Arabidopsis thaliana: one gene and its partner. The protein of the gene in region 1 purifies or fractionates together with the protein of each later gene. This does not show direct contact. Each region holds a gene or a part of one and is shown on either strand. Other genes may lie near its edges.

Region 1 (6,323 bases):
TTTTTGTTTTGCCTATGGGCCAGGGTTTTTATTTTTTGTTTTGTCTGTTATTAACACTTCTATTATTATTATTATTTTTATTTTTATTTTTAAAAAACACTAACTTCAGAAAAAATAAAAATAAAAACCTTCAGTAAATCTTATAAAAATCAGGTCTCGAATCCACTACGTTTCAGTTTTCACTCATTTATGCGTTCATTATCATTTTATCGACAATTATTGTGAAAGCGTGGTGGGGTTGAGACATCATAAAAAAATTTAATTTCAATTCTTAAAACGATGTCGTTTTTAAGTTATAGCATCAAATACGTGTTATTTTGACTCAGCAACCGTAACAGTTGACTATTACCCATTATTTACGATTTTGAATTGTGCAGTAACTGTAAAGTCCAGATATAAAATTCAAATTTTTTGAAGTTTGAATATGAATTAATCCTATAATTTATTCGCGTATGAAAATATACTTAACAGATTTTAAGGATATGAAAATACTTTTTACTTCATATGCATATGTATATACTTGTTTGAACTTTAAAGTCAATGGAGAAAATACACTAGAGGTTACAGGTGCTGCCGCTGCAATGCAACATGTCGTTTATATAGTAACTGATAGAAACTATCAACTAAAGTCTCATCACTAAATTTTCCTTAAAACTTATTACATTACTCACTACTACACAATGCATTAAAAATAACATATTTGAAAGTATATTGTGTATGCTAATTTTTGATGTGTACTTAAATCTCATTATTGGTATATAAGTAAAGAACTTTAAAAACTAAAGATAGGCAGTAAAACAAATCATACATAAAATTTACGTTGAAATTAGTTTGAATCAAATTTGCGATCTACAGTTTTCGTGTAAAACTAATCAAAGAAAAACGATTCAAAATAACCAATATATTTTGAAATGATGATTAAAACTTGGCGACAAATGAAATAAAAATAAACAATGGGAAAAAGTTTTGTGTTGTTGACCAATTAGAGACCAAAAGACTGGTTTTTGTAGTAAAAAGCAGATTACGTACAAAACAATTTAGCGGGTGGGTATATGGAATTTAGGTTCAGAATATTTTCTTCCTTTTAGGATTAGGGTTTGTCTTGCAATTTAGGATGTTATTGGACATCTGTTCAATTATGGATAGGTGGGAATAGGGTTTGAGTCTCACATATAAATCCTTGAATTTTCCACTACCATGTACATCTATATATGAAACTTCATAAAGTCCGATTTAACAAGTTTGCAGTATGGCGAGATCTGTTTTGGCATCTTAGAAACAAAGCTTAACACTAATACAAAAATAAATATTCGTCAAGAACAAGAGTAGATGACAAACAAGCTAAAGGAGGAGGAAAACAACTAAGATAACTAGCAAAAGATAGCATTTCATACTACAAGTATAAGGTAAAAATAATAAAGGCACAAAAATACCCGGAGAAGGCATTTCTTTTGGGTCTCTTCAGGTGTCTCACTCTTAAACTTCTTGATCATCTTCTCATTCTCAAAGGAGGTGTCGCTCTAGTCTTTACCTCATACATTCTTTTGTTCATTTTCTCTTTCTTATTTTTTTTTTTTTTTCAACTTTCGTTTAATGTGGAGATTTAATATGTAATTCTTATCTAAAAGATAATTAACTTTTTGCTTATGTTTTGCTTATTTTTAGTCTTTTTTTTTGTTAATATAGTTTCTTTGTTTTTGTTTATTTATTTTTAATAATTGTAGACAAAAATAATTATTAGGTTTTTAAATTAGTTTGATGTTTTTAAGCAATATAGTTGTTGGCGGCGGAGGAATACATGTACTGAAGATAAACACAGTTAAACCTTTTTAGTAACCGAACCGACCCATTTGGATTGAGATAAAATACAATCGAATAGTTTGAGTCTTAGATTGGGTTTGGTTTGGGTCGGTTTGAGTTCGGTTGGGTTGGGTCGGTTCGGTTAAAATGCCCACCCCTACTTTCCCATCATCCCCTTGACAAATTAATAACCAAATTAGTCATAATCCAATCTTTCAACATGAAAACCGGAATATGAGGGTCAAAGCGGACCCATTAAGAGAAAAGGTGGGTCAGTTGACACACCTTAAATCTACAAATAAAGTTTAATGCATGAAATTTGTTAAAGAGATAATAGCTAAGTTGGTTTATCATGTGTCATTGACACCCCCATTATCCAAGTTCAATCCTTCCCTATGTACTTTTTCGTAAAAAATTTCTTTTTATATATTAAACGAAAAAACTATTGACTCAGGTAAAAATCTTTCCTGGGTCCGCCGGTCAACGAGGAGGAAACACGACGGAATGAGAGAGAGAAGTTGGTGGCCTAATTTTTGTAGGAGAAAAAACACACAGAAAGAAAAGTAAAATGTTGACAAAATGGGGTTGGGAAATTGAGAATAAAAATTCAAAGAAGGCATGCATATTGCAATAATAATGTGCGATTTGTCAAACAAGTGGGGCTGTGAGAGAGAGCGCGTGGTCAGCACGAAGAAGAAGCAGGTACAGAGTTTTATCACCAGCTATCTATCTTTGGTTTGTTCTTAAATAATAATCAAACGCCATCTCTCTCTATTCTCTATCTATCTTCTCCACGTTACTACCACCTAACCTCTCATCCACCTTTTCTCCTTTAAGCATATTTCATTTCATCTCCGAAAGGAATTGTATCGTTCCTCACACACGCCTCTCATCTCTTATCCGTAAGTTTTGTTTCTCTTTTCTCTATTGATGTACCCTTTTGCCCATATTTGTGCTTGTGAACTCGCATTTGATCGTTTATGCTAGATCTGGTTTGGGTTTAGTCGTTTAGATGCTCGTCAAGCTCCCTTTGAATCACTAGTGCTCTTAGACTCTTATATTTACTGATTTGGAATTTTGTAATTCAAAAGTCCGAGTCTTTTGATGAACCCCCGTGCCGACCACACGATTGCTTTCAATTTGGGCTTCTTCTTAATTTTGGTGAACTATTGAGGATTTTTGCAAGTTTCTGTGTGAATCCTAGAGTAGAATGACTCAAAAATGATTTCTTTTGATTCAATTATATGCGATTGTTAATGTCTTTGAGGTTCTATGATCTGGAATTAGATTTTGGTATTATCTTAGTATATCAAAGCTTAGATGATGTTTCTTTAGCATGTAACTACTATTGTCCATATAAATTGCATAACTCATTTAACTTTCGAGCATTCTCTGCGTCTCGATTACTTATATGGTTCCTTTGTTTGTTTTTGTTCAGATTCTTGTCCTTTTTTCAGCTCAACAAGAATGGATAATTGTACTGGAGAAAATCCCATGGCTTCTCAGTTGAACATTCTCCGATGCCCGTTCTTGAGGAACATCAATGAGCCCACTAACCTCTCTTTCTCTTCATCCTTGCCTTTTCCCATCCCTGTAAGTAACCGTCTGTTGGTTCACTCCATATTGACATTTCTTATAGATTCTGATCTTGTCTCATCATATATATAGGCAAGAGCTGGGAAAGGACCTATATTTGAAGATGGTCCCAATTTTGATACGGCGTTTAGGCTTTTCCATGGCCAAGATGGAGTTGTCCCTCTCTCTGACACCGCTCGAACTGAAGCCCAGAAGCCTGTGCCTGTATTCCATCCACTTGCTGCTAAGGCGGCCACTATTAGTCTCTCATCCTTTGGATCTGGAGGGCCTTTTGGATTTGATGCATTTTCTGACATGTTTAAAAATCAAAAGAAGAAGTCAGATTCATCCAAAAATAAGGTAAAGGTTTTATGAGTTTCTTGCTCAACATTTATCTTTTAAAACTGATGTGCATAGGTAAAGAAATGTGTCTAAGGAAATAGTTAAGCTTCTAAGATTGCTTAAGTAGTATGCAATGTGTTGGCTTATGAGATAGAAAATCATGATATTTCTTTTCTCTTAGAGCACCGCTTAATTGTTGTTTCTCTTTCAGGGAGGAAACCACGAAGCCATGGGCGACGAATGGCTTAAAACAGGAAACTGCCCAATAGCAAAATCATATCGAGCTGTAAGTGGTGTGGCACCACTTGTGGCAAAGATCCTGCAACCCCCTCCAGGCATGAAATTTAAATGCCCTCAAGCAATAGTCACAGCTCGAGCAGCGATATCAAAAACACCTTTCGCCAAGAACCTCCGTCCACAACCTTTACCAGCTAAAGTACTAGTGATCGGGATGCTGGGCATGGCGTTAAATGTGCCTTTAGGGGTCTGGAGAGAGCACACTGAAAAGTTTTCGGCATCTTGGTTTATAGCTCTTCACGCAGCGGTTCCATTCATAGGAATACTGAGAAAGTCAGTGTTGATGCCTAAAACAGCTATGGTATTCACCATAGCAGCATCAGTTTTGGGACAGGTGATTGGGTCAAGAGCAGAGAGGCGGAGACTCAAGTCTGTAGCTGAGAAGAAGTTGACATTGGAGGTACCAAATCCGTCTTCTGTTGAAGCAGATCAGATGCAATTTGCCGGAGTTTCATCAGATGGAAGATGCGGTGATAAAGTGGTGATGAAGTGGAATCCCATGATGCTTGATGTTGCAAGCCCTGTGTCTTCCGGAGCAGCTACTGTTGTCTGCTAAAAGGATTTTGTAATTCTCTTCGAGGATTTATATATATAATTGTTTTTCTTGTATTTTTTTCGGCTGATTGTATTTAAAAAGTTTCTTAATGTTTGAGAAAAACAAGAATAAAGCCATTTTTTAAACTGTTAATTGTATTTTAATGTAAAAGACTTGTTTGATTGAATAAAAGGAAAGAGAAGTTGGAAATTTGGTGTTTATGCATCTCATAGGCAAGTTTTCAAATATGAACAATGTTAAATGAGTCGTTCAATAGTGCTTATGATATCGTGGTTGCAAAACATCAGTTATAGAGTGGTTGATGGTGTAGTGATTAAACATTGCATTTCGTGATCACTTGTTTGGGTCCACTCTTGCATCCTTGCTAAACCTACTCCAAAATTGGTAAACCTACTCTGAAGTTTGCAGAACTAGTCTAAAAGATTTTCTTAAAAGGCAGGCCACTAGATAGAAGAGAAATCACTTACAAGAGTTTCTTAAACTTTTCTTTTTAAAGATAAGTGATTATGGAACATTAAACTTAAGTTTACTCTCATAACCTCTATTATCATCAAATCTCCTTCTTAAATTTTTTTTTTTTTTTTTTGAAACAAATGGATTTTATTAAAAATACAAAAAAAATTGTATATTTGGATTACGTCAACTCTTACAATTTTGCTAGTCTCATAGAAAGATGTCATACAATGCTTGCATGTATTGCTTATAACAGTACGTGTGCTTTTGTTATTTCTTTTCTAGTATTGTAATTGCGTCGTACAAGAAAACTTATAAGATGCGTCGGAATTCGAAATAAAACAAATAAGGTTGGAATGTATCACATGATTTTCATACGTTTTTACAATTTCTGATAAGTCCCCCTTGGTATGATGGTATCGACTTTGTTTTCAGAAAGTTGAGTTTGTTTCTTTTCCGAAAACTAACGATGTCAAATAATGTGAATTCACAACATATATAAAAAAATGATAAGAAGAGAGCTTAATTTTGAGCGAGTGTTACAAATTAATTAAAAACTGTGTCTAGTTTAACACTTAAAAAAATTGCAATTTAAATGATAACTACCCCTGGATTATTTTCATAACAATTTTGTACATGAAAGAATTTAAGATAATATATTATTTTACCAAATTAGAAAAGCTAAAAAAATAAGTACTATAATTTGTTGTATTTAGTGAAAGAATAAATGTTGCTGGGAAAAAAAGTGAAAGAATAAATGCTTTGGGTATATACCTTATATTAAAAACAAAACGAAAAAAAATTAATGATATTTGTTACCATATATATTATATACAATCTATAAACAGAAATTAAGATAATTTATCTGAAAAGTGTTTTCAATGAGGAAAATAACAATAAACAGAAAAAATGAGGTGTATGTACAAAGATTTGTTACCAAATTTAAAGTATTCAAACAGAAAGTACCCATCTGTTTAGGCAAAGGATTCGATCATCAAACGTCCTACAATATCTTGTTTTGCGATCTCACCCACAAATTTATTTCCTATAAATTCTCTTCCTCTGTCTGATCTCTTCTATTCAAGCCCACTTCTTTTCTCTTTCTCTTGTCTTCGTGGAGTTTTCGGATCTTACACAACAATATCTTTGTCTTACTGTATTTCTTGTCCTTTTTCTTCTTACCTTTCTAACAATTATTAAGAAGAGTAAAGCTTGAATTTAAATAAAAATGATGGGAGACAATGAAGGAAGAAGAACTCCGTTATTGAATCTTGGGGTTCAAGTATCGATGAGAGTGTTA
Region 2 (4,793 bases), on another chromosome or scaffold:
AGATACGGACTCCGATGAATGGAGTTTTAGGTACTTTTTCTACTTATCCTTGGTCAATATTGCATGTTCTCTTAAAATCAGCTGAAACGTTTAAGCATTTTGTTACAGGAATGCTGAAAATGCTGATGGACACCGATCTTGATGCGAAGCAGATGGACTATGCGCAAACTGCTCATGGCAGTGGGAAGGATCTTACATCACTAATAAATGAGGTTCTTGATCAGGCAAAGATTGAATCCGGAAGGCTCGAGCTTGAAAATGTGCCTTTTGATATGCGTTTTATTCTTGATAATGTTTCATCTCTCCTCTCTGGCAAGGCAAATGAAAAAGGAATTGAGGTATAATTATAAACTGCATGACCTTCTACTTTCTTAATGTTTTCATATGGCAAACAAATTCCATATGTAATGAAATGTTGACTTCTTGTTACAGTTGGCCGTTTATGTTTCTAGTCAAGTTCCTGATGTTGTAGTCGGTGATCCGAGTCGGTTCCGGCAGATCATTACAAACCTGGTTGGAAACTCAATCAAAGTAATTTACTCCTTACTTCTTACAGAACAACAGGCTTCACGAATCTCTACTATTACAGTACTCATTTGTTATTTACTTAATAACAGTTCACACAGGAAAGGGGACACATATTTATCTCAGTGCACCTTGCAGATGAGGTAAAGGAGCCTCTTACTATTGAAGACGCAGTGCTAAAACAGCGACTAGCTTTAGGATGCAGCGAGTCCGGTGAGACAGTTAGCGGGTTTCCTGCGGTAAATGCATGGGGAAGCTGGAAGAATTTCAAGACATGTTACAGTACTGAGAGTCAGAATTCTGATCAAATCAAATTGCTAGTTACAGTGGAGGACACTGGAGTTGGCATACCTGTGGATGCACAAGGCCGAATCTTCACACCTTTTATGCAAGCCGACAGTTCCACATCGCGGACTTATGGTGGAACTGGCATAGGTTTGAGTATAAGCAAACGTTTGGTTGAACTCATGCAAGGAGAGATGGGGTTTGTGAGTGAGCCCGGGATAGGCAGTACTTTTTCATTTACTGGAGTTTTCGGGAAAGCAGAAACAAATACGTCGATTACTAAGCTGGAACGATTCGATCTAGCTATTCAGGAGTTTACAGGATTGAGAGCATTAGTTATTGATAACAGAAACATTAGAGCAGAGGTCACCAGGTACGAACTTCGGAGACTGGGAATATCTGCAGACATTGTTTCAAGTCTGAGAATGGCATGCACTTGTTGTATCAGGTACTTTACGTACATTAGTGTCTGTCTGTCTTTAGAGATTATAGTGAGTTCACTAAAAGCGTTTTATTGTTCTGGAATCTTTGCAGCAAATTAGAAAATTTGGCTATGATTCTAATAGACAAAGACGCCTGGAACAAGGAAGAATTTTCAGTACTTGACGAGTTGTTTACCCGAAGCAAAGTAACCTTTACAAGAGTCCCAAAGATTTTTCTTTTGGCAACTTCTGCAACTCTTACTGAGCGCAGTGAGATGAAGTCTACTGGTCTCATCGATGAGGTGGTGATAAAGCCTCTTCGGATGAGTGTCTTAATATGTTGCTTGCAAGAAACCCTTGTCAATGGCAAGAAGAGGCAACCGAACAGACAGCGAAGAAATCTTGGACACTTGCTAAGAGAAAAACAGATTCTGGTTGTGGATGATAATCTTGTGAACAGACGAGTTGCAGAAGGTGCACTTAAGAAATATGGAGCTATTGTTACATGCGTTGAGAGTGGCAAAGCTGCATTGGCAATGCTTAAGCCGCCTCATAACTTCGATGCTTGCTTCATGGATCTCCAGATGCCTGAAATGGATGGGTAGATAACTATTTTTCAATCTTATCTCTTCAGCTTGTTCATTTCTTGGATGTCGTCCTTGGTAACTTTATAATTTTTTGCGCAGATTTGAAGCGACAAGGAGAGTCCGTGAGCTGGAGAGGGAAATCAATAAGAAAATAGCTTCTGGAGAAGTTTCAGCTGAAATGTTCTGTAAATTTAGTAGTTGGCACGTCCCGATATTAGCAATGACAGCAGATGTTATTCAGGCTACTCATGAAGAATGCATGAAATGTGGAATGGATGGTTATGTATCAAAACCGTTTGAAGAGGAAGTGCTCTACACAGCGGTAGCAAGATTCTTTGAACCTTGTTAAAAGAAAAAGCCATTTCCCTTGTAGGATTATATATCAACCCGAGAGCTTTTTGACATCGGGTAGTATATCTTGAACATCCATGACCTGCAATTCAACTTGAGATCAAGGCAAGAACCAGTTCATTGTCAATTTTTCTTCACAGGTCTCTTTCAGCTTAAGACCTCGTCTGGTTGAGTGAGAAAAACTGCGAAAACCGATCTTTCTCTTTGTATAGACACTTTGTCTTCATTGATCTCTGCCTGTGTGTATAGTAGATTCCTAGGGTATAGCTCCATTATATTCATTTTATATATATATAAACCCAAACTCTGTCCTCTTAACTATGAAACAGCTTGTATATTGTGTAGTAATAGTAATGGCTCTTGATTACATGATAGGAAGCGTATAAATGACAGTGTGTTCTGAAAAGCTTCCAGAAGCAGAACAAAATCTTCCTCAAAAGTCAAAACCAATGCAGATCTGGCACATGATTGCATCTGAAGCAAACCAAGATTCCCTAGTCATAGATCTTGAACTTTTGGACTAATGATTCTTTCTAACTAGTATAAAGGGTATCAAGTTGCACTCATTTCCTTAGCTCCCAAACTTCCTAACTAGATAGATCAGATCTGGATCTCTCTGCACCACTCATTGCCTTCTCTAGAAACATGTCAACTTTCTTGATAAGGATACTTCTTCCTTTGCTTATCATAGCAATGACTCTTCCTCGACGTTCAGGTAAAAACACCACTGCAATGTTCATACTATGTCCCTTTTTTGGCCTTATGCAGATGTATGTGAGTGTATGTTTAAGCAGAGGCAGAGTCGGAACAATGGTGCATAGCGGATGAACAAACGCCAGACGATGAGTTGCAAGCAGCCTTAGACTGGGCTTGCGGAAAAGGTGGAGCAGACTGCAGCAAAATGCAGCAGGAAAACCAGCCTTGCTTCTTGCCTAACACAATCAGAGATCATGCCTCCTTTGCTTTCAACAGTTACTACCAAACTTATAAAAACAAAGGTGGTTCTTGTTACTTCAAAGGAGCTGCCATGATCACTGAGCTTGACCCCAGTAAGCTTTCTCCTCTCTCTCTTTCTCCCTTGAATCTTAGTAGATAGTGAACCATCTGTTTCTGATCCAGCTATGATTGTGACAGGCCATGGTTCTTGCCAGTATGAGTATAACCCCTGATTCAAACGACACAGCAAAGACAAGATACAGCAAGATGAAAAGCTATGATTTTGCATTTATACGTTTTCTCTATGTAATGTTTTCATTCCAAAGCAGTATCCATGTACTGTTCTCCCATTACACTCCAGTCTGAGATAAAAATTTCTTCAACAACCTGCTTTTACTGTGCATTGAGATTTTCTACAGTATCGAATATACATCAATCTGGTACTATTGCTCAATCTAGAGTACTTAACATGTAGTCACAGACTCGCAGTAATAGGCTGATTCCATTTCTGTTTAGAATACGTTGTTATCACACAGTGCTACCATATAACAACATTGGTTCATTCTGTTCATGGAAGTGAAAGAACAAGTGTCTCCATGAATGTAATGGAAATACATACTTGAATCAAGTCATATACAGTATAGGAGCTATCGATATACTACAGAGATCCATCAACATCAACTTTGTCTTTACAAGTTCTCCTCTTATTTAAATCCACCTAATGTAGGTGGCTATATAATAATGGACTAACTAAACTGGTGCGGCCAAAACAATTAACTATACAGTCAACTAATAATTTACCCTGCCCTTGTACTAATCTATGTTAATAAGCCTTAAACCTGCAACAAAATGTTTAGCGTTGTACAGACACTGTTCTCACCGCATTCTCCTGACAAGCTATGCTTTGGTGTTCTGATTGTGGCATGTCCTGATTGGCAGCTAGGTCTTTGGTTTCATCTGATTCTCCTATTATTTACTCCAAAGATTTGGCATCAGTCTTTGTTTGCCTGATTTTCCATATTGAAGCGCCACTGTCATCATCAAGTTGGCCTTTTGTAATGGTCAAAAGGGCTAAACTCTGTGGAGTCGCATTGGCATCTTCTGCTATACAACTCAGATCTTTGTTCTTAACTTCATCAATTCCTTGCTTCAGTATCTTCTAGTGAGCAAATGTCCTTCCTGGGGGCATATCATGGTCATGTTTTCCCTCGTATGTCGTTATAAGCAACTTCGCATCACAAGATGACCTTTCTACCTGTTTCTTGACCGCACATCCAGAACTTGAACATCTATAGTAACTCCTGATTCAGCAGTTACATTCTCACGGATAAAAGAGTTGTTCCCTATTGAACCAGACTGCAAAGGTAAGCCAGTACTTTCTCAAGAGTTGTTAATGCTTTTTCAGATTCCTCGGAAGTAATATCTACATCACACACCGCTTGAAGCTCCTTGAAGTCTGCGAATTTAGAATCTAGAATCTCATTGACAAACCTCATTGATGAAGTTCTTTGACTCAACAGTTTTTAGTTCCCGTTCCAGCCTCTACATTATCAGTGACAGCATCATCTTTTTCAGTCCCGCTTGAAGAAGCTGGTTTAAACTCATATGTAGGAAGTTCTTCTATTGCAGCCATATCAATCAACCAATTCAACGTGATCTCAAAGCCAGCAAGAATCGCATTCACTCC

The links. Proteins that work in one complex are often made in the same cells at the same time.
Region 2: the proteins of AT4G25030 (region 1) and AT5G35740 purify together in Arabidopsis thaliana (affinity purification with mass spectrometry, with the first as the bait; one large-scale study listed by BioGRID). This does not show direct contact.

What each region holds. Positions count from the first base shown.
Region 1 is NC_003075.7:12,862,069-12,868,391, forward strand, and holds AT4G25030 (Serine/Threonine-kinase), read left to right. Parts: upstream 1-2,383; 5' UTR 2,384-2,702; exon of another isoform or gene 2,703-2,961; intron 2,962-3,238; 5' UTR 3,239-3,267; coding exon 3,268-3,393; intron 3,394-3,468; coding exon 3,469-3,735; intron 3,736-3,928; coding exon 3,929-4,570; 3' UTR 4,571-4,759; downstream 4,760-6,323. Other genes in the region: AT4G25040 (Uncharacterized protein family (UPF0497)), read left to right, coding at 6,252-6,323.
Region 2 is NC_003076.8:13,909,118-13,913,910, reverse strand, and holds AT5G35740 (Carbohydrate-binding X8 domain superfamily protein), read left to right. Parts: upstream 1-2,685; 5' UTR 2,686-2,815; coding exon 2,816-2,885; intron 2,886-2,964; coding exon 2,965-3,219; intron 3,220-3,304; coding exon 3,305-3,339; 3' UTR 3,340-3,599; downstream 3,600-4,793. Other genes in the region: HK2 (histidine kinase 2), read left to right, coding at 1-30, 109-338, 433-531, 618-1,258, 1,345-1,833, 1,919-2,168.